2 linked regions of the Drosophila melanogaster genome follow. The protein of the gene in region 2 interacts with the protein of the main gene of each other region in a pairwise test. Each region holds a gene or a part of one and is shown on either strand. Other genes may lie near its edges. The genes, in order: pdm2 and Sox102F.

The links.
Region 1: the proteins of Sox102F (region 2) and pdm2 interact in a two-hybrid assay, tested with the Drosophila melanogaster proteins (one large-scale study listed by BioGRID).

Annotation. Positions count from the first base shown.
Region 1 is NT_033779.5:12,647,961-12,664,922, forward strand, and holds the start of pdm2 (POU domain protein 2), read left to right. Parts: upstream 1-9,204; 5' UTR 9,205-10,113; intron 10,114-12,291; 5' UTR 12,292-12,505; coding exon 12,506-12,971; intron 12,972-16,962. UniProt on the Drosophila melanogaster protein: DNA-binding regulatory protein implicated in early development. Involved in neuronal cell fate decision. May act as an octamer-dependent activator of transcription.
Region 2 is NC_004353.4:825,894-842,855, forward strand, and holds the start of Sox102F (Sox102F), read right to left. Parts: upstream 8,501-16,962; 5' UTR 7,486-8,500; intron 2,032-7,485; 5' UTR 1,966-2,031; intron 1-1,965. Other genes in the region: fd102C (forkhead domain 102C), read right to left, coding at 11,316-13,115.

The sequences.
Region 1 (16,962 bases), on a different chromosome or scaffold from region 2:
ACACAATACAATTGGACACAGTCGCTGGCCAAGACGCAGGAGTCAAGGACATGCCACAAATCCGGGCAGACAAAGTACTGGGTTGGGGGTGTGGTTTCCCTCCCCCTGCGAGGGCCAACACGAAGGTCAATGGAAGAGGCCACAGTGCAAGTGAAAAATTCGCGCGAAAAAATAATCAAGTTTTGCAGCGAAAGTGAGATAAATAAGTGTTGGCCAGATGAGGTCAGCCAAAGGGGTGGGACAGGTCACTAAATGGGGGTGGTGGCATGTTATTGAATTCAACAGTTTGCACTTGTTTTGGGGAACATCTCTAGTTCCGGGGAACTTTGTCTTGGGCCTAAAGCAACTTACCGACGGCATTCGCAAAAGGTAATTTACTCATTCTAAAATCAGAAATTTGGAACTTCGATATGATTAAAAAAAATACAGTAAGTCTAGAAATATTTATCAGTAGATACAGATTTATCTAGGATACATTAACGTTGTTGTTTAGATGAGGAAAACTGATGTTAATGGGTTTCACCTATTACTTTGGTATAAGAGCATTATATGAATAATACATTTCTTTTCTAACAAATTTCACGTATATTTTTGTGGATTTTTTGACGAAGAAGCATAATTTTAATATCCAATTATCTTTTCAGTTGCTTCAGTTTTAATTAACCCACACCAAACCAAACTCAATCCGAGGCGCATTCTAATCAAAAATTATTAGGTGCGTGTACAGAGAAAGACCATGAATGAATGAGTATGAATAAAAAACATAAAAAAAAGAAAAATGCACTGCAGCACGCAAAGAAGAAGGGGAGCCTTTAATGTAGAGTTGGGGGAGGCAAACTGTTTTCGCGTCTCGAAGGCGACGGTCGCGCGCATGACTCGTAAATAAAATTGTAGCCACAAGCAAACTGAGTACTGATCTTTTGGGATGCACTTGAAAAAAACATGGTTACCTATATGCTATACTTCGGAAAAATAGCAGTCTTTGGAACTTTAGGGCTTAACAAATATTAATTGATTAAATGTCTTGTTCTATTGAAAAGTACGACTTCTTTTCTAACGAATATAAACCTCGAGCTTTGATAAAGCACTAAACAATTTGATAATATTTTAGTATATTTATTTTGTTAGCGCATACTTTGGAACAGAGAGGACTGAACTCTACTAGCGGAAGCCAGCGAAGATCGGACCGCACAGCAGCCAGCGGATTGGGCAAGGTTAGGATCAGCTTCATCTTTTTCGGCCGGTAAATTGCTGGACTCGGTTCTGTTGCAAGACCTTATCAGATCGCTGGGAGGCTGCCCGAATCGAGTCCCAGATGTGCTGGTGGCAAGTGCTCCCGATCCGCAGGGGCGACGGGGCACCGGGTTTTTGGGAATCTCGTTGTGTGGGAGCTGCTACGTAGCCATTTACACGTGTGCATCCTCAGTTTTTCTCGCTGGTGCGTGTTCCATAATATTTAAAAATCGCAAAAAGTTAATTGCGAAAAATTGTGGCTGGCTCTTTCATTTGGTTCGCTTTCCATTTTTTTGTTGCGTGAGCGAAGGATAAATGATAGTGATAAGAAAGGCAGCCGGAAAAATGCTTAAGCTGATGCCAGCTTCAAGTTGTTTGGTTAGATGTTCAACATCAAATCTTATGATTGAAAAAAAATCTGTAGGCCTTACCAATTATTTATTACTAATAGGAAGTTACTTTTGCATTATGTTAAAAGGGATATAAAATGCATTGGCATTCGAAAGGCCTTTCCCACTGTTTATTCAAAACCAAAGTCTAGTATTGAACTCAATTAAAATCGAAAACATCAATACTTATCTCAAACTATTGATAACGCTGAACCCAATGCATTATGTTACTTTATTTGCTCTGCTCTGCTGAAAGTGAACCAAAACGACCCGCAGCTAAAAAAAAACCATACAAAGCCAACAAAAAACGAAGTAAATATAAAAATAAATAAACTAAAGTGAATCGAAGTTAAGGTAGGGTCTTGGAGGAGTCCAAGGAAAACAGCAGGAAGGCCTCCCTCCGGCGGAGGTTACTGCCACACCACGGATAGTGGTAAGTGCCGGGCTAAATGGCTTCCCCATTAAGGCTCATTTGAAATCAGACACGTCCGATTAAAATCTCATTTCTCACCTTGTGGTCCGTTTCGACTGCAGCTCAAATTGGAGTTGGGCTCAAGCTCAGGCTGAGGCTAAAGCTAAAGCTGCGACTTCCATTTCGAGGTATTGCACTCAAAGAAAATATTGAAATTTTATATACATTTTTTGATCTATTCCAATGTTAACATAATATGCATTACATTTTAAACTGAAATTAAATCTAATGGCACAAAAAGTATGCATCTTAAAGTATTTTCTAGCTTCTTTATATAGAGACCAAATTTTCTACTGTTACTACTTCTTCTACTATTATTTGCCCAAATTTTCGCTAAGTGTGCTTTCGTAGGACTGGCAGTCAGGTATGGGGAAAGGTAGAGACAAAAAACAGCTGCAGAAAAAATCATATTTAGCTGGCGAGCAAGGCAACAACTTTAACTTCCAGTTTAGCCACCAAGGTGGCCAATTCTGCAGCTCCTGCCATCGATAGGCTGCGATAGAGCCCACCGAAGGTATTTCCGAAACATCCCGAAGGCAGTCACTATTTCACGCCTTTTTGCCACTTATTAAAATAGGCAAAATGTCTATTAGGCCGCCAGTGAGCAGCCGGTGGGTAAACCACATTCGTTTTTATGTGGGTGGCTAAAAAAAAAAAACACCTGGAAACGGTGAGGGAATGGAATGGAAAACCCACTGGTATCGTGTCATGGTGCCAACTGGGATTCTCATAATCGCTTCGATTCTGCTTGTCTCTCTCCCAGATGGCGATTGTTAGACGTCTGATCTTCAACATCTCTGACGAGATACCACCAAGAGGGAAGAGTGTGCTGGGAAAATGTTAAAGGAATGATAGGAAAATTATTAAAAGTCATTTTAATAATGTATGTAATTACTTCCATACACTTTTAGAACCCGAAAACAATAAGGCATATATAACTTAAAACTCGTACTCCACTGCCACTGCTCCCCATTCCATTGAACCATTAAAAACCTTAATAATTTTTCTTGGCTTGTGCATCGCGATAAACACGCAAAATCCGCTCCACACACTCAACACCTTTTTGTTCTGGTTCATGGTCCTGTTCCTTGTGGCCAAATGAGATTTGAGCCGAGCCACCCATATTCCGCAATGAATCGGATCGTCCGTTGTCCCCTTTGGGCTATTTAAGCAAATGATCAGCGGCCACAGAGCAGCCGACACGCAACGCGCCCCGTCTTCCCCCGCTCCGCCCGCGTCTACCACGAACTCTTGGCCAAGTGTGAATTGTTTCGTGCCCAGAGCTAAGTTGGCCAGATAAGTTCAAAATGCAGGTAAGGCCTATAAATGGTTTCTTTAAGACCGCAACTTTAAATACCCTCAAATTAAGATTTCTTTCTTTTATTCAGTTTAAGATAAGTTAAGTTAAGTTTAAGATACACATTCTTAAAATATTATAGGTAAAACATTAAAATTTCAGTTTATTTCCCATTCTGTAAGTGTTTATAAATAACTTGATATTCCAAAAGGCAAGCCACTTCACTTTGGTATTCGTTAACAAATCCCTATCAGAAAAATGCTTGAAAGGGTATAAAGTTTTGGCTTAACTTGCAGCTGCCTCAGTGCAGGCTTTTTGCATATGAAAAAACTGGGGTCGAAGGAACGAGGAACCGAGGGAAATTGGCGAATTCTCTTGTGGTCCACGGGCTGGCGTGCAAATTCTTGACGTTTTTTCCCACATTAAGTGCATTGTTTCAGGGCTACCGGGCTTTGGTAGTGGTTCGCTGGTTTGGTGGCTCGTTGGTTCGTAGGGCACCTGAGAGATCTGGCCCCATGCAAAACAGCTTGTTAAGCACTTGTGCCTCCAACAAGAACAAAGGCACCAACACGGTTCCAGATTGTGTGCCCGACTTTTGGCTTGTGGACCTCTTAAGGCCCCAGTTCTTCGGGCTTATTAAGCAAAGCTGAAAAAAGGCCAAGAGAATGGCTTATAAAAAAGGTAGCAATTTCCGCGCTTAACTCGATCACGCACTATTATCATAATCAGTTTGGTCAAGGCGGAGTTGCACTCGTGGCATCATTATCGCTATCAAACTTTTATACGATAAAGAGTTGTGAGCAAACTGAAGAGATATTCTTATGATCTAAAATCTAAATGTGCACAAAAAAGGTTAGATAAAAAATAAATAATATGTGACATGTACATATGTTCTCTAGAAGTACATTTAAATATATACTAAAGAATAAATATTTGTTGGTTTCATTTCAATTATAAAATTGATTGCCGTTCCTACTCTTATCAGTGAGAAAAGTATAAATTTAAACACACCTTTTTTAACCTTACCCTGGAAATAAGAGTAATTTTCCTATTAAATTCAATTTCAGTTCCTGCCAACGTAAACACGAAAAGCACATTACTCATACGCCCTGTGGCGGCCTTCTGTTTAGCGAAATGAAATTTCTCTCCCACATTTCATGTAAAGGAAACTACAAAATAAACTGTAGCACACTCCACTTGAAAATTCAATAAAAAAAAGGGAAGAAATTGATCAAAATTGAAAATGGGCAATAGCTTTGATCTCCTACCAAATCCCCTCCTTCGAGCTTAGTACGTATTTTCGGCCACTCTCATGCCAACGTAAACAAATATAGAAAAGTTTCCAACGCTCGAGTGGCCTTTGGTACAGTTCGGTTCGGTCTCATAAATATTTAAAAATTAATTTCACAATATATTGAGGGGCCTGCGCTGATGTGTGTACTTGTCTGTGAGCGATTTTTCAATTTCATACTTCATTTTATGGCATAAATGCCAAAGTTTCAGTGAGGCTGGCAAAAAAAGAGGGAATATTTGGCTTATATAAGCTGCCATCATGTTTTATAGTTCCATTTCGTATATGCATTTGTGGGGAGGTTCTCTAAGGTGCAAAAGAGGGAGCAAGCGTAATTATATACGACCTCCCACTTCAGGACAAGGCAACGCCTTTTATACTCTAAAACTTGTGTATGTAGAGTGACAGCAGGGAGGTAAAATCAAGGCGGAAAAGTGGAGCAGCCGAAGATGGGGAGCACTACCAAGCACTACCTTTCATATGTAGCACTTTGGTCCAACGTTATCGTATTTTATGTGCAAGTGCTTCGTTGTCCTGCTACCAGGACCTCTATTTTTCGGTTTGCCATGCACACAGCCCCCATTTTCACCACCCCCACAGGTCATGTAGTTTTGCAACATTTTCTGCACATTTGTGCAGTTTTTCATGTTCCATGCTCTCATGTGCACCAGCCAGGATATGAAAATTTTCCAAGCGCAATGAACGAGTCTTGTGGACTGTGAGTGCGCGTGCGATAGAGAGGCACGGCGCAAGAAGAGAGACAGACTGAGTGCATCTGTGTGCGCATTCAAGTTGGGAAAATTGTGCACTTACATTATCATAATGGAAATGCTTTTGACTTGAGTGACCAGGGTTGCCAACGAGCAAATAATTAGGGGATTTCATTGAATTTTATATCAGTTGTATTTATTTCATTAATACATAGTAACTAAGGAATGCACACTTTAATTTGGCTACAAACACTTTATGTTTTCTTTATTATACTTATATTAATTTTAATTACTTTTCTTGGGATTATTAATACATCCAGATTTAACTAGTCAATTCCTAATTACATTTATATATCTATAAATAGGAACTTAGGTTTCTTTATTACTTGGAAACAACATTTTCTATTTAGCAACAAATTCAAATCTTCAACAGTTATTTGATTATAAAGATTTCTGTAAAGATACATGACTGACTGTCGTGGTGAAGATGTGTTATAAAATTCATATATATATACATAACAAATATAAAAACGAAATATAGAAACATCCCGCCATTACTCTTTTCTATTAGACTGGCAACCCTGTCTTAAGCACCTCTATCCTGCAACTCTGTACGTAAATGCAAGCGAAGCCAACTGTGCCATATTGCCCTGCACCTACCCGCCCCCTCAAGGCGGTGGTATATACAGCACCACCCCCTCTGGGCGCCCTAGGCAGCCATTGTATTCTGATTGTGCGCCTTATGGCCCAGGACTCCTTCAGGGCTCCTATATATACACAAGTGTGTGTGTGTGTGTGTGCGAGCGTGGAGAGATGGAAAAATATTATTTTTCATAAATTTTAAAATATACCATGGGCAGGACTGGGTGAGCGAGTGAGAGGGCGAGCCTTGTGTGTGTGAGCTTCTTTTGTCCTGCTTCACCCGTGTATAACGGTAAATGCCAGCCATACGTGGTTATATATTTGTACAATATACATATGTACACGTCGAAGGCAAAGTAGAGGAAAATGTATGCAACATTTTACAATGCAAAAGCCATTTACTTGGGCAACGTAGGAAAGCCAAGGGAGATGGAAAACTAAGAGCCCCAGAGAGAAAGAGAAAAAGGACCGTTTGCGTGTTGGTGTAAGTGTGTGCCGCCTGCATGTGTGTGTTTGCTCGTGAGGCAGTCAGCATATGAAAAATGAAAAGTCACAACTGCGAAACGAAAAATACGAAAAGAATACCGTTGAAATACAGCCTTAGGAAAGGAAAAAAAATATTTCTCCTCTTTGTTTCCCTATATACAACAAATACCGCCCGCAAGCATTTATATACACATAAACATCATGGGAAACTTTCAACTTTTATGTCGCCTCGTCCTCGGTGGGTAATGTAAATAAAAAGAGACAGGAAATGTTTGCGATATGTAAGAGCACACGACACAAAAAAAAAAGGAAAAGTGCAAAATTCTAAAAAGTTTCCACAGAACGCGGGGATGATATGGCAGGAACCATAACTTAGGCACCCGTCAGCTTAGCTTTGTTGGTTGGTCCTTAGGTGCTCGCCCTTCAATATGAAAAATGAGCCAGGGAAGGCAGATGAAATTTTGGGGCTGGGCGATTTTTTCAAGTTTTATGGGGCGTATACGGAATGTGGAATACCAAATGGAAGAACTAAGGGCACAGTTCAAGAGGTGGTTGTCTACTTTTTCGAGCGTGTTAGTTAGGTTCTGCATATGGTAAAAATAACATTTTTTAAATATTCAAGTAAACACCTGAGAACATATGAATTAGAGCTACAAAAACAATATTTTTTTCATATCAATAAAGAAAATTACATTTTTACTGCTTATAAGAAGAATTTTTTAGTTTTTATTATTTACCAATTATCCTTATATAGGTTTTTTGAACGTACACCTATTGTACACACAAGTGCTGCAAGTAAAATCTTCAAAAAGTACGCTCGCATCAGTTTTACTCTTCCCCAACTTCTTTATTTCATAACTATCTTTTGATTACCAAATAGTTACTCCGTGAATAGTTGGGTCATACTCTTCAGAACCTACCCCCACAAACTAAACCATTTTCAGACGAAACCCATCGATTAGTTGGATTTAAGCATCTCGAAACAGCGACAACTTAAATGCTTACAAAACAAGAATAGTGGAAAAGAGGATGTAAAGGAGGCTGCAGAGGAACCAAAACACAAGCAGACGGGCAGACAAGTGAATAGAAGTGACAAACCAAAAATAAAAGGGCCAAGAAGGGAATTTCCTCGGCGCTAATCAATGAAATTAAAGCTGCGGCCAAGGCGAAATATCTTTAAGGACTCACTACTGAGGGGGGGCGGCATGGGGGAGTGGAACATATAGAATAGTGAGCGAGCCAAGCTACTGCCAACTTTAATGAACGGAAATTAGCAGTCAAAAGGTAAAAGCCCTCTCGCTCTCTTTTTTTCACCCGCAGCATCTGGACGCCGCGGCGAATTCGCGCACATGCACACACAATGGCCAACGGCGAAATGGAGAGAGCTCCCCACGAAGAGCGAGCATGCGCCGCAAGAGAGCGCCAAAGCTCCATGCCGATTGGCTGCCGGCTGCCCACTTTGGGTGAGTGTGTTTGTGCGGGAGAGAGCGCGCTTGTTGGATATATTTCCCCAAGATTTTCTACCTCTCCCTCCGCACTTTCTCTCTCTTGCGTTCTCTTTCTGTTCAGGCATAAACAAACCATTTTGAATAAAATCAACAGCAACAACAGCGGCAACAACTACGTTGTTGCAACAATGTGGATCCCAAGTTGCCGAGAAAAATCAACTGATTCTACACTTAGAAAAGTTTTATATATTGGTTATAATACAATTTCATTAAAAGCCTATTAACATTATAAATTTACTTATAATTGTAAAAGAAATGTATTTAAAATACGCTTAGAACCTTTATATATAAATGTATAAATTATAATATATTCTATTTAGAGTAACAATAAAAACCAAATTAAGTTATACCAAGACGTGTTTGTGAATATTTGTTAAGATAAAATATAGAATTTAAGGTTTATTTCTGTTAAATATTAAAATGGTACAATAGAAAATGACTGGAATATATATTATATAATTTTTGTAAGTGTATGGTTACTACAGTTGCTTGTGGTGCTTCTTCTTCCATTTATTCAGCTAGTACTGCTCTTCTTCTAGATGCTTTGGCCTGGTCAAGTTGCATTCAATTGCAGTTTTTCAGTTGCCACTCCGTTGGCCGATTGTCGGTTGTCGTCCTCGCGACTTTTCTTGTTTATTTTTTCAACTAGCTGTGTGTGCGTGACAGCAACAACAATAATCTGAGGACGCCTCTTGTAATTATTTTAATTTATGCGTTTATCGCTTTTTGCCTTTTGCCGCCGTTCAGCGGATTCTGTTGGCTATCTGTCTGCATTTGGTTCGTTTTTTGCCTTGACATTCGCATTTTGACAGCACGGCGAATAATTCTCGGTTCTGCCATCATTGCAATGTCAATTTTTTTCATTTTTCATTCGCTGATATTCCGACTTGTCCACGGGGCGTATGCGTAACGCGAGTTGTGTTGTGATTTCTGGCAAGTGCAATGCCGTCGGAACATTGATTTTGAAAGGAATTAAATCTGTTTTGCCCATAAAATCATCTGCTTTAGTATTATATGTTTTATTTTATAAAACTTATTATTTTTATAAAAGAAAGAAAACGGTTTGGTATATAAGCGGCCATAAAAAAATCAAAAAATCTTGTATCTTGTGCCGAATAAATAATGAATCATATGATGAGAAACAGTACTTGAATCAATAAGAATTTTAATATATTTTATTATATTTTGCAAACTGAATTACTTGTATACCCTTATTCGGTTACTCGTATGAGCCTGACTCCTCTTCTCCTTCTCAATTCCCTTCAAGAGGAAATTTTCATGCCGCTCTAAACTACAAATCAACTTAGGAGCCCCCATATTATTTCTTCCCTCAACGAACAGAAGCAGCGGCAGTCAATACATACATAATTCGGAATCCGATAAGAGCCACCCACCCATATATACATATATAGAACACTCACACACACATATGCAGTACTATTTTCCACCCACACAATACAAGCTTTTCATTTTAAAACCTCCTGTAAAAAAAAAGAAGCAAGAGAAAGAAAAACGAAGTCAAACGCCCCAAAACACCCACGCACCACCCCCTCCACCTGTTTTATGGCTCCCTTTCCCCACCCCCACAGACACACACACACACACAGAGGCACATCGCAAACAGACCAATACACTGGCACACTCACACTCACTCACTCTCTCCAACATCTTCTATAAAAAAAAAGTATTTTTTGTACTCGCTTGACATTTTGTGGATACGTCGGACGTCGTCGGAAGTCGTCGCGAACTTTGCTTCTTTTTGCTCTTTCTCTTTTCTTTAGTCTGCTTTTTTTTCACTTTTTACTTTTTGCCCATATCTCCTTGCGCGTTTTTTTAAGTCAGTCGTTTGTCGGAAGTCAATCAAAAAGCGTGTCTCGGAGAATTGTCCCAAAAGACAGAGATCACCTCACCTCACCTCGACGGCCCACAGAAAATGCAGAAAGGGCGTGAAGCTGTCGCCATTCTCGTTGGCAATTACAATTTATAAAAGTGTGGCAAAGTAAACAATTAAATTATAATTCGTGACAGCAGGCGAAAACCAGTAGAGGAAAAACCAGTAAGGAGGTGCGCCATCTTCCAGCCCAAGTGAGTTTAACTCTTTTTTTTCTTTTGTACCCACTGAGTGTGTCAAGGAGCTTGTCTTGTAACGCCCACACTCAATGCGATCGATGGATCAGCCAGATGGATGATACAGATGCCGCAAGAGAGAGAGAGAGGGCAGAACTGTTTCTTCTGGCCTGTCAGATTCCTAATGAGCTTTCCCAAGTGTCTGCGCGTATTTCAGCGTCCTTAATTGGCCATATGTGTTTGAGGGCCAACAAGTGTCCCGATATGGCTGACTATGGTAGTTGGACGGGCGAACTGAATCCATCATAGAGATCTTGGTCGGGCTTTAGCTAATCATAACAAAATTGTGACCATGTTCTGGTCAAATCTTTAACAATGGAAAATCTTAAGGTTAGATCAAATTAAGATGCAAAATGTATTAATAACAAGCAATTATCTTCAAAATGAGGCAATATATATATATATATATTGAATATAGTATTTGATTTAAAGGATAGTTTAATAACTTTTTCTAAATTTGTTCCATTCCATATATTTTTCATAAACCTTCTGTGATTTGTGTACCCTATCTTAGATGTGCCACATATATATTTTTATGGGTTTTTTACAATTCCACTTCTGGCAATGATTCGATCGATAATCACGACAAACAATTTCTCAACCGAAAGTCAGGCAAATCACATCATCGAACTAAGTTCCCTCGTATCTTTACAACCGAACCGTGTACACCCAATAGAAAATTATGAAAACACAAATTCCAAATTGAAGACAAACACAATGGCAATGTTCGGTATTATATGATCGGCGATACGTTTCCAATTGGAGTAAGCAATTGTGTTTAATTTTAAAACAAGATGAAGTTAAACAAAAATAGCGAAAGCCCCGATATTGTCGGCCCAATAAGGAATTACCGTGCCGATTGGGAATTATTGAAAGTAGCACCGAGGAATAAGTGACTGCATTTAGTCGGCGTTCGCTTTGATCATACCGGCAGATATATCGATTCCTGGCAATTGGTTGCTGACATGCAAAGAACATAATTTACCGACTGGCAAAATTGATAAACAATCTTCGTGTGGCACTTTGGTTGCGGCCAATTTGCCGTCGATACTGACAACTCAATTGATTTGTTTACAAGTGCCATTAATGTTAGTTGCCCCGACCCGCCTCTTCGTGGCTCATATGTACATAAACCCGTTTGGTAATGTATGTAAATAACCATTTCCATAAACGCACTTGCACTTTTCAGCACCGTATCTTATCTGGCCAAGTTGACTTGTTGTTCGGGGCATTTGATCGTTGCGCTTGTAGTTTAATTTCCCATTTCTATTTCCTTTGATTTCATCGCCTTTTGCCGTGATTTTTCGACACCCACCCACCCACTCCTTATCTCATTTGACTTCAATTTGTTTTCAATTTACAACAATTTCGTTTCAAACCACATTTGGTAAATGTGCCCATTTTCATTCTCCCATTTTTTGTTTGCATAATAATACAAAGTTTAGGTTTTAGTGCCTTTTATGGTGTCTACTGCTGTAAAGTTGTATACAACCACTTTTCACTTGTGGGAGCTGATTCGACAGGCCATGGGAAAATTTAGAGAAATGTTTGGACTGCTCAATAAACGAATTTAAAAGAGCAAACATTTAAACTATATAAATTGCGATATGTACTTTTATGACATGTTTACTTTCGAGTGGTATGGAATTTCTGTAATTATTTAACTGAATGATATAGTTTCTCACATATTAACATTTTCATTCAATGCTAGGTACAGTAAAACTTCTAATCAGTAACTTACTTTACATTTACCTTTTAGAAGAGAATATTAACTTTTAAACTTTTACCCTTATATATTTTTTTATCAAAATACAAACTTGTAATCGCAGAATGGGCTGACAATGCAATATACTCATGAGCCAGTTAATAAACTAAACTAATTAATCTCAGTTATAAGGTATACAAACATCCGTTCGATTTCAAACAAATCCACTGTTTCCACCTGTAACGTGAAAAGTCACGTGTACAGGAATGTGGATGGGTCAGTTATTTTAAGGGAAAAATCAATTACTTCCGCTATCGAGTCGTAAAGATCACAGCGCTCTATGTATTTAATAACAGCTTTTTAAAGTGCAGTTAACAGCAAATTAGGCTTTCAGCCGAAGAAGACACTTTTAATTATCAACCCATTTGCAGGCAGCAAAGGAGGCAGAAGGAGGAATACATATCGCCAGCGGTCCATGGGTCAATATCATAATCTGAGGCAGCAACCGGAGCGGCAAACAAGTCGCCACAGGCAGCAAGGAGCAGTTGAGTTGGCCATAAATCAAAGCGACGCAATTTGCTGCTGACGAACTGCAACGCAACAGCGGCAACAAGAGCAGCAGCATCAGCAGCAGCAGCAACAACTATGCCATTACTGCTGGCAACAACACTTGCCAACAATTCCCATCATCAACACTTGAGCACAACAGCAACAGAGACAGCAGCAGCAGCAGCAACAGCAAAAGCAGCCGCAACTGCAGCAGCAGCAGCAACAGCAACCATGTTGCTGACTTCGCCGACAGCAGCAACTCATTGCCTTGCTGCTGCAACATCGGCAGCAGGTGTTAATGTTCAAATTACTGGCCAAGGCGTTTCAGCCACTCTGAACGACGATCAACTGCAACTGCCGGCTAATTATGCCGCTAACGTTGGCCATTTGAATGGCTTTAACCCTAAAGACAACTGCCCACCAGTTCCACCCACCAGCGAGCGGGCTTTTGAGGGATTGCTACGCCTGCCGCAGATACAAGTCAAGCAGGAATTCATGGAGTCGCCGCCAGAGAGGCCTAGCTGCCATCCCATGAACCACCAGCAAGCACCAGCCAATTCAGGTGAGTTGACCTTTTTCTCATCGGAATGGCCATATATTATAAGGCCATATTATAAGCAAATGCATAGGTATTCTTAAATTATGAAAATGTTGTAAATGTTTTTTACGAGTTGCCAAAGCCTTTAGGAGATGGTACACGTTATTAAGAGCTAAATATCTTCATTTATTCTATTAATTGTAGCACTTAAGAAATCTAAAATGTATATATTATACTCCACCGCTCATTTTAACACTACCTTTGGACCCCTTAATCAAAATAATGCATTTTAGTGCTTAAATATAGTATATTATAATATTTTCTATTCTCAGTCTCCATTTAAACGACTGTAAGTTATCCACCTTGCAAGCCCCGCCTGAGTCAATAAAACCCCATAAAGGAGTTAACCCTTTTCAGCCCACCGCCCAGCATCCACACAAATGCATATGTGTATTTAAAAACCCATTAAGTGAAAAATGAGGTATTTACAACGTGTTAACAAGAGCACGGCCATTTTTCATGGTCTTCGGCCCGAAAAAAAAACAGGCCTCAAAAAGTGGGCGAAGCGCCGTATGCCAAAGAAAAACTCGTGCCAAACGCATGCTTATGGGATTTTCAATTTTTTATGCATCGAAACAGATTTCATTTTTTATTGGCAAAGGGGTCGTCGTCATCTTGATAGAGCCGAGAAAAAGGATGCGACACAAGGGACCCAGACCCGGGCTAATATTGCAACAGAGTGTGGTGCCACGAGTGCGAACATTTATGAAGATTGAAAGGGTTGTCAAACACTTCATCCGTCTTAAGGGACAAGGACAAGGAGAACCACAAGGGGTTCAAGAGGGTGCCACACATCCTGTTGCTCCTGCTGCTCAATCCAAAAGGAAAAAGGGGGTTGCAACATCTTGTTTTCTTTCGATTATTGAAATTGCCATTTTGCCGTTTGATGATCTCACTCGGGGGACTTGAAAACACTTTTCGTGACCTCAATTGTTATTTAAAGCCAACCGAGCCCCCAGACCCCAATTTACACAATATCCAATTTAAATAGGACTCATTACCATTCATCTTCATATGTAAATCCATTTCCTCTGGTCCAGCTCGGAAATGCTCACATGACATGCAAAACCCACAAAAAATCGAACCTCCTTAAGTGCGCAATTATCAAAAATTTAATGTAAAACAAAGGGTTGGAGCACTAAAACGAATAAGTTCAACACGCGACCGGAAATTAAGGTCGATTTAAGCAAATGTAACTCACCGAAGTTGGTTTCTTTGATTAGATTTTCTGTTAGATATTCGTGATATTCATTCAGTGCCGAGATCGTTAGCATTTGATGCTATCCATCACCCGACTCTGAAGCAAGCTTCCCATTACGATTTGAGCCATAATTTGCCATAAATGAGCCAACTCCATACAATGCCACATCTGCGGCAGATCAATGATGGGAAATGGTCGGACTAGTTGCTAGCTGCAATCCAAAGGTAGTGATTCCAATTCTAGTACGTTAGAAACTAAAAAAAAGATAGAAAGTGACACTGAAGAGATACATTTTTTAAACAATAATATTTTATTTAATGCTGCAAATGCAGCTCACAAATTATGTCTTTATAAAACAATATAAGAATACAATTCATGAAAGAGTTCGGCACAATTTTTCCATCAAGATCTTAGGAAGTAACACAAACACATGCCCATTTCCCATCTGCATAGGGGTATTCAAAGTAAATGCTGTTTATGCAGCAAGTGCCGGAAATGCAAGGAAAAAGAAAACATTCGGATGCATCCTCGTTTCCCAAGTTTGCTGCCACTGGGATCTGTGAGAACCTGAGATCCGGGTTAACAAAAGGGAAACGGCGTTAAGAACTCAAAGATTTCATTCAGAACGCTCTCGGATTTATCTCGCCAATCTCCGCCAGGAACCGAGATGAACTGTCAGACGGAGATGCTCAATGCATCGCCGCATGAATGAAAATAATTATGATAATTGCAACTGCCACGAGATCAGATGGGTTGGTTGGTCTAGGTATGTTTTGTGGCTTCCTCGGTTTCTCGATTCCCCGACTAATTGTAGGATCACTGGCAGCGGGAACCGCAGCGGCAATTCGATGGTTTTCAGATGAGGAAAACCCAATAAATCCATTGTGCGCTTAATTATTGTCGAAATTCAAATTGAAATGGTTGGGTTACCTGCCTTCTTCTCTACCTGTCCTACCTGCCGCATCATTTATCTTACCGAGATGCGCGAAATTTGAATGCTCAACGACTGCACCTGATCTCTCTATAAATGCATCTCCATATGATCGTTTCCCCATATATGTATGTATTCCCTCGTCATATATATTCTCATCAAAAAAAATGGGATTTTCTTGTGTGGAAATTAGATCCTATTTGGCCCAGCGTGTGATTAGCGCGCCCCTTTGATCCGCGCTGATGTGCTGCTGTCGGTTGCATTTGATTTATATTCAATTGAGATTCTCCGATGGAAAGAAGACAGGTTCTGCCTGCTCCCAGACGCAGCAATTAAATTCAAATCAAACATTTATTTAAATTTTATGCATCGGTTGGTGGTTGATTGAATTGCATTGAACTGGGATTTTCCCGCAGCTACTGAAGATGAGTGCGATTCGAGATGCTTGGAAAATAGTTTAATGATGAAAGAGCTATAAAGCACCTTACTAAAGAGTACACACCATATCTTAGGAACCATAATCAGGATTTTTAGTTTTGATGACGAATTCCTTCTTGAAAAACGTAGTTTCATTTTCCTTCGATTTCCAACATATTTGTTTATTCACCCAAAACAATTGGTTCACGTACTTTCGATCGTTCTGACTTCATGAACCCAAGCTGATCCCATTTCAAAGAAACCAAACCGGAAAGGCGTCAATTAGACAAGGCCCGTCTAATATTCCCCACCAAATTATGCATCATTAATCAATAAATGGTCGCGTTAGGAAAGATGATGCCCCAGCTGACGCCGTCATATCTTCACACCTTCTACGGGGAAGGTTCAAGGAATTGCCGATGGAAAACCCTTGCAACAGATGTGACTACGTGCAACGCTAATATCATTTTAATCGCGCCAAATTAAAGGTTCAATGAACAAACAAGTCAACTCCACTCGAAAATTCCCATCGCCTTAGGATCGATGCATGGTTAACAAAAATTTTTGGTCGAGAAGAAGGAACACCATTGATCCAAAAACATAATGAAAAAAAAACACCGTTTGCCTTGCACCGCGTAAGGCGGCTAAGAAAATTAGATTTTTAATTAAAATAATTTCGTATGCAATTTAGATAATCGTTGGCGAAAAAAAAAAACAGAAAATCCAGCAGAAGCCATGGTGCTGGCAGAATCCCCAGCGATCCATGCGATCCATATGCGATTTGTTTGCCTGCATTTTTGGCTGGGCCGCGTTTTTGGAGCTGAGCATTCGGAGTTTCGAAGCTTGGCAGTTGGGGCGTTAACCCATGGAGGCGGACGCCGGTCGCGGCCAAATAAAATGAAGCACATTTTTTATACAAATCGAGAGGAGGCGGCAGCATCGGCAGCATCTGCGGCAGCAGGTTGCATCAAGATCCGCATGCATTTGCCCCGCTCCAAAGATGCTCCTCCTGGCTTCGGCTTCTTGTGGAGGAGCACCTCCGCAGCTGAGGGTCAGAACGCTCACGCACCACCGGCAACAACAATTGCAAGATATTTAAATTGATCATCTCCATTTAATAAAGCTACGGGTTCAATGGTTGCGGAATGCTAGAGGTGGCAGCGTGACCTTACTTAAAAAAAATATATATATTTCTTTATCAGTGCTTCAGTTTAAAATTGAAGTTCAAAATCTATACTTAACTATTATATAAATATATAAATATATCAATATAAATTTATAGTTAACAACTTGAAAAAATGTTGCTCTTCATGTATCTTACAGCTCTTGTACTATTGTTGACTCATTTTTTAATTAATCTATTTAATGTGTCATCAGAGCATTCAAAACACCATTTTTTTTTAAAT
Region 2 (16,962 bases):
CTTTTTAATTTTAAGGCACCCCTCCTTAACTTTATTTGTCTAAACAAAAATTTGACAAGTGTTGACCGAACGGATTATTTACGTGGTATACTTATAACTAGTGGAGTAAATGGGTATGCTATATTCGTTGAAAAGTAAAACAGGTAAAAGGAAGCGTTGCCGAACATATAAAATATAAATATTCCTGATCAGTAACACTAGACCAGCCAACCTGGCCTATGAGTAACGGGTGTAAATCCGTCCGTCTGTCAGATCGCCGCTTGTCTGTTCGCCAGAACAAGAGTGTGCCAAAAAATTGTATTCACCTTCATTTACTTTATTGTCAGATGTCGCTGCTTACTAAGACTATGATGCACTTTATGACCATTTTAATATCATGAATATATGAAAACCACGGAGAGTTGTAAAATCCTTTTTACTCAAGGCAGTGAATGGGGATCGAGGCGCTCATACAAATCGGAGTTCAAAGAGTGGTTTGCTTTGTTTAAGACTGTTTTGTTACTGAATGCGCTTTGTGTGTGTATTGTTTGTTTGTTGATGGTGCACTTGTTTGGTCAAAAAGGCGCAAACAAAAGGCTGACTGGACCTCGCATAGCTTACAAAGGACTAAATTTTCTGCTCCGTTTATCCGGCTGTCGAGACTTCCATCCGCCGACAGGTCCATGTATTATTTATGTAGGCTTATGTTTGTGCATTTCTATCTAGCAGCAGCCTTCCGAAACAAGGACTGGAAGTTTTCCTATCATAAGTAAATATATACTTACTTATAGGCAAGACTCTGCTTAACATTGTAGGCATAACTTGACACTGGTTGGATTCATATATGCTCGTTTGCAGATCAGTGCTTGAGGATAAGTTTAACCATTTTTTGTTGTTTAAATTGATAACTATTATATGACTGCTAAAATTAAAACTGCGCTGTTTGAATATTGTTGAACGGCATTCCTTTTTCCACCCTTATACATTACTTTACAGACTCGAATTGAGCAGTAACATACATACGTTCAATATGTATATTCTACCCGATTTCAGTGTTGATAGGCACTTTCGTATAATTTTTGAATACCCCAAGAGCATCATTATGTTAAGTCAAGAATAAGCTAAAATTGCACTACAGGAAGCATTTCCAAACCCATAAAGTACACTTTTTGGTATATATGTACATATATGTTAACCTGAGCAATATCCTGTCGGTCCGAAAGGTTTAATTTTCAGAGCACTTTTGTTTATGTGACACTTTTACCACTGCACGACACGCACCAACATTTATTGATAAATATACTATTGTTTTGTGAGGACTAAAGAAAGATCTCAAAAGATTAAAGACTTCGTTTGAATGACTGCGAATCAATATGGTATTAAAAAAAGTTTCATCCCCTTTCAAGGTCTTCATGGCTACTGTTAAAATGTGGTAAGAAAACCGTCCAGAATAATAAGCCGACAAATGTCTTTGCATTTACGTGCAGACAAGGGGGATTTCATATACTAAGTATAGGACAGATGACGGTTTCTGAAAACAAAGTAATCAGCAGGGTGAACGAATAACACCATGGCTAAACCCAATGGGGTGCGACAAGTGTAATAAGCATGAAATGTGTCTCTCGGGTTGACCCTGAAAGGATGTTTAACTTGGTTTGATTTAGTTTGGCGTAGATTCTAGCCTTCATTTAGGAGAATTTTTTTAAAATGAACATTTTCTAAAACACAGGTTCTACAGCAACAACATTGTATAGTTTCCACACCCATTTGAAAGTTATGAGGCAACAAAAACATCCGCTTTCACCCATTTGGAACACTAATACTATACTTTAATTTTGATAAATATACGTTAAGATGACATGGCTTTTTTAATTTGTCTTAGTCGATCGCACCTCACACATAAAGAAGTTATGATAAAAGCAATTACACTTCCCATTATAAATTGCAAGTTTGACAAGCTTTTAGAGGTGCACTTTTTCTACTTACCCTTTTCACACAATCGATGCCAAGCTTTTTACAAAAATTACTAATCCATTTCTCAAGATATGATATCTGGAACAAAACGTAAAATCGTCTAAATAAGAAAATATTAAGGTTTGCAAGATTATTGATTTTTGGCTGTGTGGAGTTTAATCTTAGAATCATCAAAACTGTAAGAAAACTTTCTATCTCGGTTCTCCAACGCTTGCTTTCCTTTCAATCGTTGCTAATAATGTATGAAGTTTCAAGCAGAATGTACTTACGATAAAATTCATAACGCAATCTTTTTCCATATGGTGTCTCCATAAAAAGACCAGATAGGGACCTACTTATATTATTGCTATTGAATTACTTGAAATGTGACTATTCGGACATTCAATAGATTGAGTATTCATGGTTTCATTTAAAACTGTCGATGGCAGTAGCAGCTGTGCGCCAATCCTTTTGGTCTTGCATGAGAATAGAAAATAGAATGGAATAGTCCTTGATCATGAGGAACTTAATTATGCAAAAACACGACATTATGTATGAAAGTGATAGTAATTCGGTTACACATTTGCAACGGAGCAAAAGAGGCTTTGACTGTTTTAGCAGAATCTCTTACAAACCATAAATGAAGAAGAAATGTTTTAAAACTCGTTTTCCCTGTAGTGCAAAAACTAAAGACTTTTAACCGATTGACAGTGAGATGATTGCTTATAAACCACATCTGAGCTACATCTGCTCTGCATATGCAACCAACTCCTTTTGTATGCATGTACTAACAAAAACGTATAAATACATTCAAATCGCCCTCCTAACCAATCCCCTCTATACCCACTCCGCAAATGTGCAGTTTTAAAGTTATTTTTAGTATTGAGTATCGCCAGGTAAAATGAGTCACTTTAAAGTTAAAACGGTAAATATATGAGTTAATTTTAGACTTGGTGTTCATATCTGTCCTTATAACAGATGAGATGACACAAATATAATTAAAAATTAGCTTTTCTATTCTATTCGATTTTATAGAGACACATAGAGACAGAGACTAGTTATATAGTTATAAAGGCTCAGCTGTTGATACTGATCAAGGATATATAAACCTTCATTGCGTTCTGACTGATATAATTGTCCCTATGCAAAGGTATAAGAAGCGGTTCTCATTTTATGCATCTCTCTTCCACATCCTTATGCTAATTCAAGTTTGAAGTTTAAATAAATAAATAACGGGTATCTGATAGTCGGGAAACTCGACTACAGCGTTCCCTCTTGTTGCAATCTTTGGTGTTTAAACAAAATTCGTTAAATTGATAATGCATGTTTATATTTAAAGAACGAATATAAAACAAAAGAAAACGGTATAGTCGGGTTATTCGCCTATTCCGTTACTATTCTGTTATTATTCCGTTACTCAGCTATTGCTACAACAATTAAACGCGTGGCGGCTTTGTACGGTTTGGGTCATAAGAGTGGGCGTGGCCAAAATACCGATAGAAGTTGGGCAGAGTGCGGATGACAGTTTGTGGTCGTTAGATGGGCGTGGCAAAATAAATGTTTGAGAACCCGATAGACAAGACAAATAAAAAAAATCAAAACATTTTCAACTTTCAATTTCAACTTTCTAGCTTTTATAGTTCCTAACGCATACAGCCAGGCTAGAGATCCTGATTGAGATTCTGTATTGTTTATATGGTTGGTAGCGAGTACCAATATATTGTTTCACCCAACGAGTAACCGGTATAAAAACTATGGCGGTCACTGTTATCGGTCCCGTTATGCTAACTTTTCGCCCATGATCAATCTAATTGGTAATGTCTTCCCCTAATAAAATATCTGCCTTTCACATTCAGCCTTATGAACTAGCATTGCTAAAGGCATTACGTAAAAGGCTTGTCCATGTCGTTGAAAAGGGTATCACTTCGTTTTATAGTTTTGGCTTTATATTTGAGTACACTCGCACGAAAACGTGTTGTACTGTTTAAGAAAGCGAGTGACGATCGGCAACTAGATTGAAACTGCGTGTAAGACGAAGAAGCAAAATACAGCGAAGTGGTTTGGTTTGGTCCCTTACGTTTCCCCGCATCGATGAGATATCAGCAATGCATCATTTTGCGTTGGGCGAAGCCTCAGATGCAGTCACAGTACCGCATCTGCAATGGTCACAGAGTCGTTGACTTGAACTCTTTCTGTTTTTCTTGTTATCTTTGTTTTTTAATTTTTTTTTTTTTTTTTTTTTTTTGATGCGAAGCGCGGTGATGTTTGTTTTTCATTTATTTTACTCTTAAGGCCTTGAGCAAGAAGAGAAAATTGTACAAGCATACATATGTACGTTTGTTACAAAAGAAAATAAAAAAAATCAACTGGCCAAGCTGAAGTGAAGTGCCTCGACTATCCGATATTCCATACAGAACGAGAGCAATGGAAAACTGTCTATATTTGCCCGGCTAGTATTACAAAAAGTGTATAAAACGCTTAATTGTGCCTGTTCTCAACGAACGTAATAGACTCGTTTTCTTTAAAAGCAACAGCTAATGTTTTTACGCGTTTCGCGAATATAAAACAAAAATATAAACTTCGACTATACATTTGACAATCTAAAAGTTTTGATCAAATTGTATTGTTTCAAAGAAACTCACTCTGCGGCGATGTTATTGCACTCGAGAATACGAAAACAGACGCATCGTCTGTTGATTAAAATCAGAGTGGGTGGGGGAGTGTAAATCATATAGGACAAACAAAACAACTTTTGTATGCAATTGTCGTATTGACTTGATTCTCCTCACTCAAAGATTTTACCGTTGACATCATCTGGTCAAGTAAAAAATGTAACTCCGATATTCTTGACCATCAGATGCTCAGTAAATTCAAATCTATTACCTAGTAAGTGATAATACCTTAGGAATATTATTTGTCAATAAAGTTTTTCAAAGCCTTTGCAATCCCAGAAATTTTTTTTGTTCACAAACGGCTTCGAAAATGTAGAAGTGGTAGAGCGGCTATTTTAGACACCAGCCTTTTCTGCATATTTCTGATGAGAAGCTCTTTTATTTGTATTGCATTTTGTTAGTGGTTGTACATTAAACTCCACTTTATTTAATAAAAATATAATATAGGTTATAATATATGTATATGTGTAACAATAATTTCAATCATGAAATAACCCACGCGGAAGCCTTTCCTGTGTGTCTGTCTCATAGTGTGCGATACTCATCTATGTATTTTGTAACCAATTATAACCGAAGAAACGAAATTTAAACATTTTTTGAAATTTGTTACGTTACCACATGCAATTTAAAATTTTTAATTTTGTATTTCCACAAATTTAAGACCAGCGCTTAAAGTCTAAATCATATCAATCATATGGACAGATGGACGGACATTTCCAGATCAACACTGCTTGTCTTGATAAATTTATATGTTTATTATACTATACGATTAACGTATATACTTGTAACCACCCCTATGTGTAATATGGAGTATGTTTAAGGTAAGGTACAAATAGTTTATTAGATTAATACATTTCTGAATTGTTTTTTGTTTAACAATAATATTTAAACAACTAAAGCTGGACGGGCTGTTGTGGTTTAGTTACTAGCTTGCCAAAAGGCTACCTTCGCATCGTCGATCCGCAGATATTTCCTGTTTTATTTTTATTGATTTCTTGGATACGCATTCACCTGTTGATATTTCGACTCGGTTGCTTTTTTTTTTGTACATTGCCGTAAAAAACAACAGCATTAGCGTCAACTATACAACTAGTTTTCATGCAGCATTCCCGCCAACTGTCGTCTTATGTCCTCCCGGCGGATCGACGCTATTTGCAGCATGGCTATGTGGATTCGGGCTTTATCTATATAACCCAAAACATGTTTTTCACTGCAGTTTGCAAGATCTAGACGCTTGCGTAAAAGCATGTTTGCAGGGATGGAAATTAGTTGTAAGCTTTTATGAACCTACTTTTCAAATTAGATCCTATGGAAACGCAGAGTTATGTTGTTAAAGAAACAACATTATTTGAAACACTTTTCAACATTTAAATATGCACTCACTTAATAGGTAGTTAAACTTTAACAAGATCTATTAAAGAGACGAATAGTTATTTTCTATTTTTAATAACTTTCTAATTAAATTATGCACTTAGCAGATATAAAATATTTTCCTAGTATACTTTGTCCCAAATACGATGATCAATTGCGTAATATTTAATCCAATTATTATGAAAGGATGCCTATACGAGCGAAACTGACTCCAAGTGTATTTCAAGCTTCGGTCCCGAAAGCAAACTATTTTCTTGCTTAGTTCGTTGTTGCTAATTTTTCTGTGGGCCAGTTTTGCCAGATCTCTCAGGCAGAACTGGATAAACAACCTGTCATGTTGCCCCCGTACGTACTCCTCAAGTTAAAGTTAATGATCGTGCGTGCAAATGGGTAAGCGCTGTGGATCTTTTAAAAGTGCATGAAGTATTTCTGCTCAAAAATAACTATTCCATATACCTCCGCAATTGATAACAAGTATACTATTGTAAAGTGTAAGCTACAAACCGTACAAAGCTCAAGAAGACATCATTAAGGAATTGAACGATATATTCGATGCTTCACCATCTCCTAAACCATCATTCATTTATCTGAACTCTCAGAAAAAGATGTTACAGTTCTATAATCATCGTTGCGCTTCTTACAATAGATTGGGATAGATTTGCCCGAACCACAGCATTAAAGGTGATGCCTAAAAGACGGTGGTGCTTTAATCATTGTTTTGCATTTGATTGTCTATTTGATGTAACCGAGGAGCCTGCTAAAAACGATGCGCAACACGGCCTTTTGTTCTTATGGGCTCCAGAATTTATGGCGATCCAGAGTGACACCACGGGACAACGAGTAAACAATTCCAGTAGACAGTCGGAAAGCGGCAACAAAAGCAATAGCTCGACAAGTACAATTGTGTAAGATGTTCAATGCCCATATCATTAGTGCCAAATGAAAACTAGATATCGCGATCGAATTCGAGCGAATCAAAATCAAACTGGAGTCTTACTTTAAAGAACATAAATGTAGAATTCCAATTATTAGTATGTACAGGATTTGGAAATCCGCAATAAAATACATTAATATATCTACGACTTCGTTTCTGTCCCCATTCGGCCACGGATACACAAGCACATGCGACCTCAAAAACCAGTCCACTCTGAGCCATTTCGTATACGATCTCCAACTTCTTCGAGCCAGCTACTCATGAAGCATTCCTTCCATCCTCCAACCCATCTGCGACCAGCCCGAATTTCGATTCCAGTTCCGATCGTTGCCTCAGACCTCCCTCCCCTTCCCGAAAGATATTCTCGCGTGGCAATGCACCTGTCGCGACCAATGCTTGTTTAGAGCAGCAACCGGCATAACAAACCGCGATGATTCGGGAAAACTGACCGAACCGCGGGCCTAAGATCTCAGCTTTTGGAAGAACAATGCCAAAAGTTGTGGTAGGGGAAATCTTTTACGACTGTCGTATGGGGAATTTGAATAGTGTCATTGCGGGGAAGCATAGTATACTCACCTTTTCTTACGGAACCCGGTTGATATTATATATATTTTAGTTGTACTCATTTGACTAGGTGCATCAAGGATTGTATTATCGGCCGTGGGCAAGTTATAGATATTTATAGGACAAATATATATAAATGTGATGCGTATATTTATGTATATTATCTTATGGCACTTTGAAAATTCACTTTATTTTTCTGCTTCACATTTACAGCGCCCGATTATTTTCCGTTTGTTTGCCTAACGACACGTCGATAAACGTTTTGATACTTTGGATCATGGCACATATTCGGGAATTTCTGGGCCGTACAAAAACTGCCTAGTCGCTCTCACCCCTCGAGCTATAAGCTTAAAGATATACATTTTCCCATTTGGTTTGGATTTCCAGACAACCCATTGCTAGTTCCTAATACGCGTTTTGTGTAAAGACACTACTTGTGTTCATCTTCGTATCTAATCAAAATTCCGTTGGCTCTACCAATGATGCATCGCGTTAGTCCCCTCGCTCACGGAGCTTGCAAGAGTAATTTTTGATTCGCACAAAAACCGTTTTGCACTGTTCAGCGTGTTTGAGCTTAATTGATGTTTCTTGGCGTTGACTTTGGTCCGTGCTAGGGAAAATGTGAACTACATGGAACGGTATACTGCGAAAATATAAAATACACATACATCGCTCTGAGTCATCACTAGGCTCAGTGGACATTTGTAGTGAAATGATTTGTAGCTAACACTTAACACAAATGCACAACACAGAGTACACGGCAGATGCAGATGCACGTGCACCGCATTCACATGCAAAGTGTGTTGGGTCCTATAGTGGTGTGAGTGCACGATCTTAAGGCAGAACACCCTGAGAATCCATTGTGTACAACTTGTGTGTGCAACCAAATCTTTGCAATCGGTGCATTGCAGGCTTTGAGTCAAAAGTCATTCTGTTCCGACTCAAAGTCGTGTGGTCTTATGCAGCATAGGTTAGCCCGCGCACGTGGAATGTTACCACCACTGTGTAGCGATGTTCACTGGTCACTGATTCCAATTCCACTTCCATTGCTGTTGCCTGTTAACTGCATGTTAATCATATGTTAAGTTTTTACATTAAGAGAAATTTTTTGGACATGTTTGGTTTCTCTTTCTGAACGGAATTTTCTCTTTTTTTGCAGAGAAGCAAATAATGTTAAAGAGGCGTGGTTATTCAATTTGAAATTTGGTTTTGTGACTTGTTATCCAATCGCGGCTCTGCGTTCTGTCTGAAGTTTGGTATTCTTGCGCACGTCCAGTTATACAGCAGATACTTTGCAAATTTTACGCTTCGTTCTCCGTCTCCATATATTTTTGAATTGCAATTCCACGACTGTTTTCGTTGAGATATCGTAACGCAGGTTGAGATCGCTAACAAGATTTACTTTAAGTGTATAAAATACTTACTATACGATCAAGCGGAAACGTAATGATTATATGATTATATTGGAATATATATGATTTTGTCATAATCCGCATTTTGGGTATGTCCAAAATATTTTTGGTATATCAATAAAAATTGTACAGACAAATCAAATGGAAAAATATTAATAAATATTAATATTAATAAAATTTCGGACGGTTAGAGTGGCCATGACAATATTTTGAGATCTGCTTGTATTAAACTCAGCCCTGCATTCCGATTACAATCAAATCGATTATTCATTTATTGAATTTTTGAAAATTGGTAGGTGTGATCGCTTAATTCGATAGATGTCTCGGATTGGTTTAACACTGTGCTATGTTCAGTAATTTAGGATTTGGTAAAAAACGTATAAGTTCGTCTTACAGTAAATAACTATTTTAAAGAGTTTTTAGGAAGCTCTTTTTGATTTATAATAAGAAGTGGAAGATTAAAAAACATGTTATAATACATAAAAAATTTCCTGACGTCTTTATGTTCATTTGAGTATTTTAAAATAAAAATGTTTATAGCGGTATTCTTATAAGGCATTTAATTTATTATTGTATTGTACCCTTAAACATTTAAAACTTTGTCCTTGAACTACAAAAAAACACAATAACGTTTTAAACGGAGAATACTAATAATAATAATTTTTGTAGCACAGGCCCATTGTATAAATTTCGTCTTATATATATGAACCAAAACTTTTGCTTCCAACGTCGCAGTTTGAACTTTTGTTACCATCCCTATTATACATGTATATTTTATTCAAATCAAGTACTCAGTTTTCGATAAAGTTGAAACTCGGCGTGCGAGGGTTGTCCTTGAACCAAACCAATAATGTTTTAAAAAGAAGCAGAGGCAACACCCAATGTATAAATTTCGTCTTGTATATATACACAAGATGTTTTACATATTATTATATAAAAACCACAAGACATAATAGTAGCTAATAGTCCTGAGCTTACACCATGCGCTACTCAAGCCTGTTGGAATGCCTCTCCTCGGGATTTCTAACGCTGTACAGGTCAACATATGTAAGTTATTAGTAGAGATACTTTCTCAGAAATCGCCGGTATTTTTTCAGTTTTTCCAAAAATGCTATCCTGATTTGCGAGGACGATTGGCGTTGCCATCCCAAAATTTACGAACCGCTGCAATCAGAAATGAGAATGGCAGCCCTTTACTAGTGTAGAAAGCAGGTTGGCAGCGCATATAAACTGGTGAATTTACTTTAGGTATAGATAATTACCAACAGATGGCACTTTTGCTACTGCAATTATGACGGACACTAGAATATTATTCTAGTGTCTTTGGTGAAACAGTATTATTCTTGTCTCTTTGTTAAAACGGTATACTAGATTTGCTGAAAAAGAATATAACAGGTAGAGCCCTAAAAAGGATATATTTATAATCAGGATAAATAGCCGAGTTGAACTGGGCATATCCTAAAAGCGAGAAAGAATTTCTTTCCTGGTGTTGCCACGCCCAATATAACGTTGAAAACCTTGACTTTGAAAATTGTGCTGATATTTTAATTTTCATTAGTCTTCTAAATTTATATCCACTTGCAAAAAAACTAATTGCCACGCTCACACTTTTGAAATATAATTTCATAATTTTTTCGTTATATTATGTGCATTAGCATTTCAACCAAGTCCATTCAGCATCCACAAGCCGCTCAAACTGTCATTTTATACATTTTGGGTTTTTTAGATGAATTATTTTTATGCCAATTTCTGTCGATGTCCAAAAATGTTGAAATGTTATGTTTATCAAACCCACTAGCTGAGTAACGGGTATTTGATGGTCTAGGATCTCGACTATATCGTTATCCCTTATACTCGTAGAGTACGACTAAGAAGGAAGCGTTTCCAACCATATTGTTGACCCATGTTGCCACCCCCACTCTAACGCCCACAAACCGCCGAAAACGGTCACGCCCACACACTTTTAAACGATTTCAAATTTGTTTCTCATTTTATTCTCCTTAGTAGCCCAAAGTATCTGAGACCCATGCATTTTTGATAATTGTTATTTATTAATAAACAGAAAGATATAATTAAAATAAAGTCTTGAGTACTCATTTTTCTTGGTCAGACCCGGCATTTTGTGTGCTAAAGATTTGTAATGACTAGAACTGGAACCGTGCTGAAAATGTAACCTTTTTAATATCAAGATGACAGAAATTTGAATTGTTTTGTTCACTAAATTTATTTTGAAATCTATGAAGTTTAACAATATTTTAACATTTGTTATGCACGTTTAAATATTAGTCTACATTGAAAGAACTCTATTTAATAAATATAAATTTATGGTATGAAATTTTGTGGGTGGGTGGTCAGTTTTTAATATTGTTTGTTATATAACTTTAGACAATTAGTTCTTTTATTGTAGTTTCTTGCCAATGAAATTATCTTTTACTTTTGCGAGAGAATTTCTATTTTTGGAGGCGGCGTAATAGAGGAAGTGCGCGAAGTATTTGATGCATCTATACTTGCTCGTCGTGCAGCTGCGGCAATATACGACCCGTAGTACCTACTAAGCATGTGTTGATCAACCTGGTTCAGTTCAAGATACGCATCTGAAATGGGAACTGACAGGGTTGATGTTTTCGCAGTAGCCATTGACGATATGAGTGCAGTTTGGGGCGCGACAATGCACTCTTGTATAGGACATTCCTCAAGTGAGCTTGACTCCTCGTGTTGGCTACTACTGCTACCCAAGGACCTGGCTGCGGAGCTGGCAATTGAAAAGTTGTGCTGTTCAAGGTCTTCTGGATCGTGGTCGGGGTCATGATCGGGATCGGCATCAAATGAAGATAGCCTGCCATCGATTAGGTACGAGTTATTGTCCTCAATGGAAAATATTTGCTTCAAAGTGCCCCTTGTTTTTTTCCTGTCTTCCCCATCCGTATAAGAATCAGTATCAGGAATAATGCTATCGTCTACCACGTCGACATTAACTTCTACATCAATATCAGCGTCTATGTCTGCATCTTGCACAGGTTTTTCTAATCCCAACACAACTTCGCGGTGTATTGTTTGCTTGGTAATGACAGTATGATGAGTTTGAGTTGTTGTCCTCGCCGAAGTGGTTGGCGTAACTGACGACTCCTGGTCTTCAGAGACAATATCAACGATTTGGACATCGGGTGCCAGTAGCGAAGCCACGTCAAACTGGCGCTTCCGCGTCTGCGAAAACATATTCGCGATTGTTGTTGTCGTGGTGGAGTTGATATAGGCAAAGTGCTGATGATGGGAATGTGGCTGCTGGAGCTGAGTTGGTTGGATTGTCTGATCTAGGTTATTCGCCTCTTGTCGTTGCATTAACAAGGCTGGATCTGGTGGGGAATAATGCGTCATACCAGGTGCTGAGCTCCTGTTAAAGAATTGGCCGATATAGTGCTGGTGGTATGGATAACCCAGGGCAGATAGTTGCAGAGCAGACTGGGAACTCGGTGGGGGTGGAGTTGTAAGATCCAAAGGCGGCGGGCTGGGCGAGTCAGTGCTGGCGTCATCCACCGATAGACCCATATGCTTTCGGACCTTACGCTGCGCCTTGCGACGTCTAAAATCCCCTTTGCGAAAATCCTCCATGTTGGCTGGATGTATTGCCCAGTAGTGCCCTTTGCCATTTGCACTTCGTCCAGATTTGATAAAGCAATCATTTAGAGAGAGATTGTGCCTGATGGAGTTTCTCCATCCCGGCCCCCGACTTCTAAAGTAAGGATAATTATCCAAAATATATTGATAAATGTCTGAGAGAACCAACTTCATATCAGTTGAGCTCAATATGGCCATGGCAATCAAACCAATATAGCTGTGTTGCGGTTTAGGCTCCTCAGGTTGAAAAATGCGTTGCGTTTGTGGGAAGAGGGAAATTGTTGAAAGAGCGGCCATTCGATTAACTGATGGAAGACTGCCTGAGCCATGGTGTCCGTAGGGGCTTAAATGCAACCAAGGAGCACTAGCTCCACTGCCACCCGTCCCACCATATTGGGGGCAGCGTAGTCGTTCAATATTGAGTGCATAGTTATACAGCTGGAGGCGGTATTGTTCCAAAGTCATCGTCGTTGATTGAGCTTGTGAAGTTCTTGTCGTTCCAAGTGGGTAGATGTTGGGCAAAGACGGCTTGGGAACATTGCTGTCCCTTGAAGACGTTCCCTGATCCTGGTCAGCAGTGGTCGTCTGTAAAGCACATATGTCAGAGTGCGCCATTTCCTACTTAACATTCACACTAAAACGACATTGGTGACACTATCGAAGACCATCCAATTCGACCTGTTTAAAATAAAATAAGTTTATTATATTTACATAGGCAACCATATAAAAAAGAAAATGATACATATATACGAAATCGTCGGCATGGGAGCCTTCGCCGTTTGTGGACGAGACTAAATATTTGCAGCCTATGGATGGAAACTGTTAAGACTTATATAAAAATGAGGAAAAAAAAGTATTTTTCAAAACTGTTGGTGTGGCAGCCTTGGGCAGTTTGTAGTAAAATTTTCGAAACAAACTTGAATCATAGGTCTCTAGAATATGCATGGTGAATCTCAACTTTCTAGTTTCATGTTATTGCGCGTAACTTCATAATTTTTCTGTGATTTAGATGTTGTGAATAAAATAAGAAAACATTTTTTGTTTGTGTTACTTGTTGGCGTTAGAGTGGGCGTGGCAAAAAGTTTTAGGCAAATCGATAAAAATTAACATGACTAAAAAAATATTTAAAAAATCAGCACATTTTTCAATAGTATGGGCAAAGATTCTACTACAATATTCTAGTGTCTTTGGTATTGGCGTGTCCGTTTTGGTCGGTAAGTGGTCGTTAGAGTGGGCTTGGCAAAAAGTTTTTTGGCAAATCGATAGAAATTTACAAAACTAATAAAAAATTTGAAAAAATATTAAAACATTTTTCAAAAGTGACAGTTCTGGTCGGTTTGTGGGCGTTAGAGTGGACGTGGCAGCATGCTTATCAGTTTAACAAACTTGAGTTGCGTCTATGTCTCTAGAATCTAGCTACTACAGTTCTAGCTCTTAGCTTTTTACAGTTCCTGAGATCTCGATGTCCATACGGACGGACAGACGCACAGGGTCAGATCGACACGGCTATTGATCCTGATCATGTTACATACTTTTCAACGAATCTAGTATACCCTTCTACTCTACGAGTAACAGCTGACTCGGCAATTGAAGTAAAGGTACATACAGTCATGGTCAAAATTATTTTCACAAAGTGCATTTTTGTGCATGGGTCACAAACAGTTGCTTGTGCAGCAAGTGGGGGGAGGTGAAATGCAAAAAAACTTTTGCTTTTGCAAATTCAAACCTATGCAGAGTCAGATGAAAGAAGAATTGAAAAAATAACTGTTCCTATGCGCAAGGAAGAGGCAAATGAAGAGATCTTTATCAGTTGTCAGAAGTATTTGCACACGGTTTCGTCGCATCACAATTATTTTCACAACGCAATTTCTTCTTCAGTGATTGGTTTAGAGTGACAAGTGCCGGTTTGTTTGCTTAAATACATTTAAATTATTGAATAAAAATTAGATTTAATCATTTTCCTATTACAGTTATTAAATAAAATGCCCAAAACAAAAGAGTTAACAGTTGAGGCCCGGGCTGGTATTGTTGCTAGGTTTAAAGCCGGTACACCTGCGGCCAAAATAGCTGAAATATATCAAATTTCGCGTAGAACTGTCTACTACTTAATAAAAAAGTTTGATACAGTTGGCACATTAAAAAATAAAAAAAGATCAGGCCGAAAACCTGTGCTGGACCAAAGGCAATGCAGGCAAATACTTGGAGTTGTGGCGAAGAATCCTAGTGCCAGTCCGGTAAAAATTGCCTTAGAATCAAAAAATACAATTGGCAAACAAGTTAGTAGTTCTACAATTCGTCGCAGGCTAAAAGAAGCTGATTTTAAGACATACTTTGTTCGCAAAACGATTGAGATCACACCAACCAACAAAACAAAACGTCTTCGATTTGCGTTGGAATATGTTAAGAAGCCTCTTGACTTTTGGTTTAATATTTTATGGACTGATGAGTCTGCATTTCAGTACCAGGGGTCATACAGCAAGCATTTTATGCATTTGAAAAATAATCAAAAGCATTTGGCAGCCCAGCCAACCAATAGATTTGGTGGGGGCACAGTCATGTTTTGGGGATGTCTTTCCTATTATGGATTCGGAGACTTGGTACCGATAGAAGGTACTTTAAATCAGAACGGATACCTTCTTATCTTAAACAACCATGCTTTTACGTCTGGAAATAGACTTTTTCCAACTACTGAATGGATTCTTCAGCAGGACAATGCTCCATGCCATAAGGGTAGGATACCAACAAAATTTTTAAACGACCTTAATCTGGCGGTTCTTCCGTGGCCCCCCCAAAGCCCAGACCTTAATATCATTGAAAACGTTTGGGCTTTTATTAAAAACCAACGAACTATTGATAAAAATAGAAAACGAGAGGGAGCCATCATTGAAATAGCGGAGATTTGGTCCAAATTGACATTAGAATTTGCACAAACTTTGGTAAGGTCAATACCAAAAAGACTTCAAGCAGTTATTGATGCCAAAGGTGGTGTTACAAAATATTAGTATTGTATTTATATAAAATAAAGAAATTCTTATGTTGAAATTAGATGTTAAGCTGAAATTTACTAAATTAAGTTGAGTGAAAATACTTTTGAAGCGCAATAAACATGTGAAAATACTATTGACAACTTGCATGCATATTTTCTTTTGCTTTAAGCTTTGTACTATGAACCGTTATCTTTCGTATTTCTTTTCGACTACCTTCTGCATAGATCAAGCTAAGCGATAAGAACTATTTCAGGCAAATCGGACAACAACAAGAAGAAATATAACAAAAAGAAGTTGAAGTTTGCAAATATTGTGCGTTGTGAAAATACTTTTGACCACCTCTGTATACACAGTTTTATGTATGTACAGCTGTGTTAATTGAAGCAGTGCTTGGGACCTACGAGTTTAAGATACAAAATCCTTTGATACAGTTCTAATGGGCAGATCCTGGCAACGTTTGGGGTTTTTTGACCATCCATCCTGTAAAACTTGCCAAAGCTGAGCCTTACACGTCGGGGAGTTCTTCTACTCATATTGTTTAATGTCCCCCACAGGTTTTCAATCGGGTTTAAATCGGAAGATGGTGCTGGCCACGGCATTACCTCTATTCTATTTTAGGTGAACCAATTCTTAGCCGATTTGCTTGTGTGTTTCGGATCATTATCCTGTTGGAATGTCAATGTTAAGGGCATATTCCATTCAGAGCATGACAGTAAGACATTACTTAGTATATTTACATATGTATGCGTTTTGGTGTATAATACCATAAATCAAATGTTTTGGACTCATACCATTGTAAAAAAAAAGCCTACACCAGGATTTTAGGTCCACCATGTTTTAAAGTCTTGAGTGGGTGTTTTGGATGGTACTCCGTGTTTGGCGATCGTCGGACATACTGTCGTGAACCAGTTCCACCAAATAGCACTATTTTTGACCCATCAGTCCAAAGGATATTACTCCATTTGGAGACTGGCCAGTTTAGGTAGGTTTTAGCGAAGCTTAACCTTGCCTTAATATGCCTTGGGCTAAGTGGGAACCTTTCGTGAACTCCTCGCACTACAATTTTGATTTAGTAGTCGTCTCCGAATTGTAAAAGAGCTGATTCTCAAGTTCGGCTCAGACTTTTTGACCCTAGAGGATGCAAAAGGATTGACATTGCTGTGACGAACTATGCGTCGATCCTCTATATCTGTGGATGGACGTATGTCACTACGGGTTTTGGGCTTTCATTCATATTTAATGGCATCGGATACCATTTTGGCAGAACATTCACGGGTTTTTTGAATGTCCTTATATGTTTTGCCTTCCTTTTTAAAACTGCCTCCCACATTTTTGAAAAATTGATCGATAGATCTTTCTATAGATTCATTAGTCGTGTAAATTTCTATAGATTTGCCAAAAACGTTTTTGAAGCCGCCGAACCGTTCACTCCCACAATATGGAACAATTTTTAAATTTTTTCTCATTTTACTTCC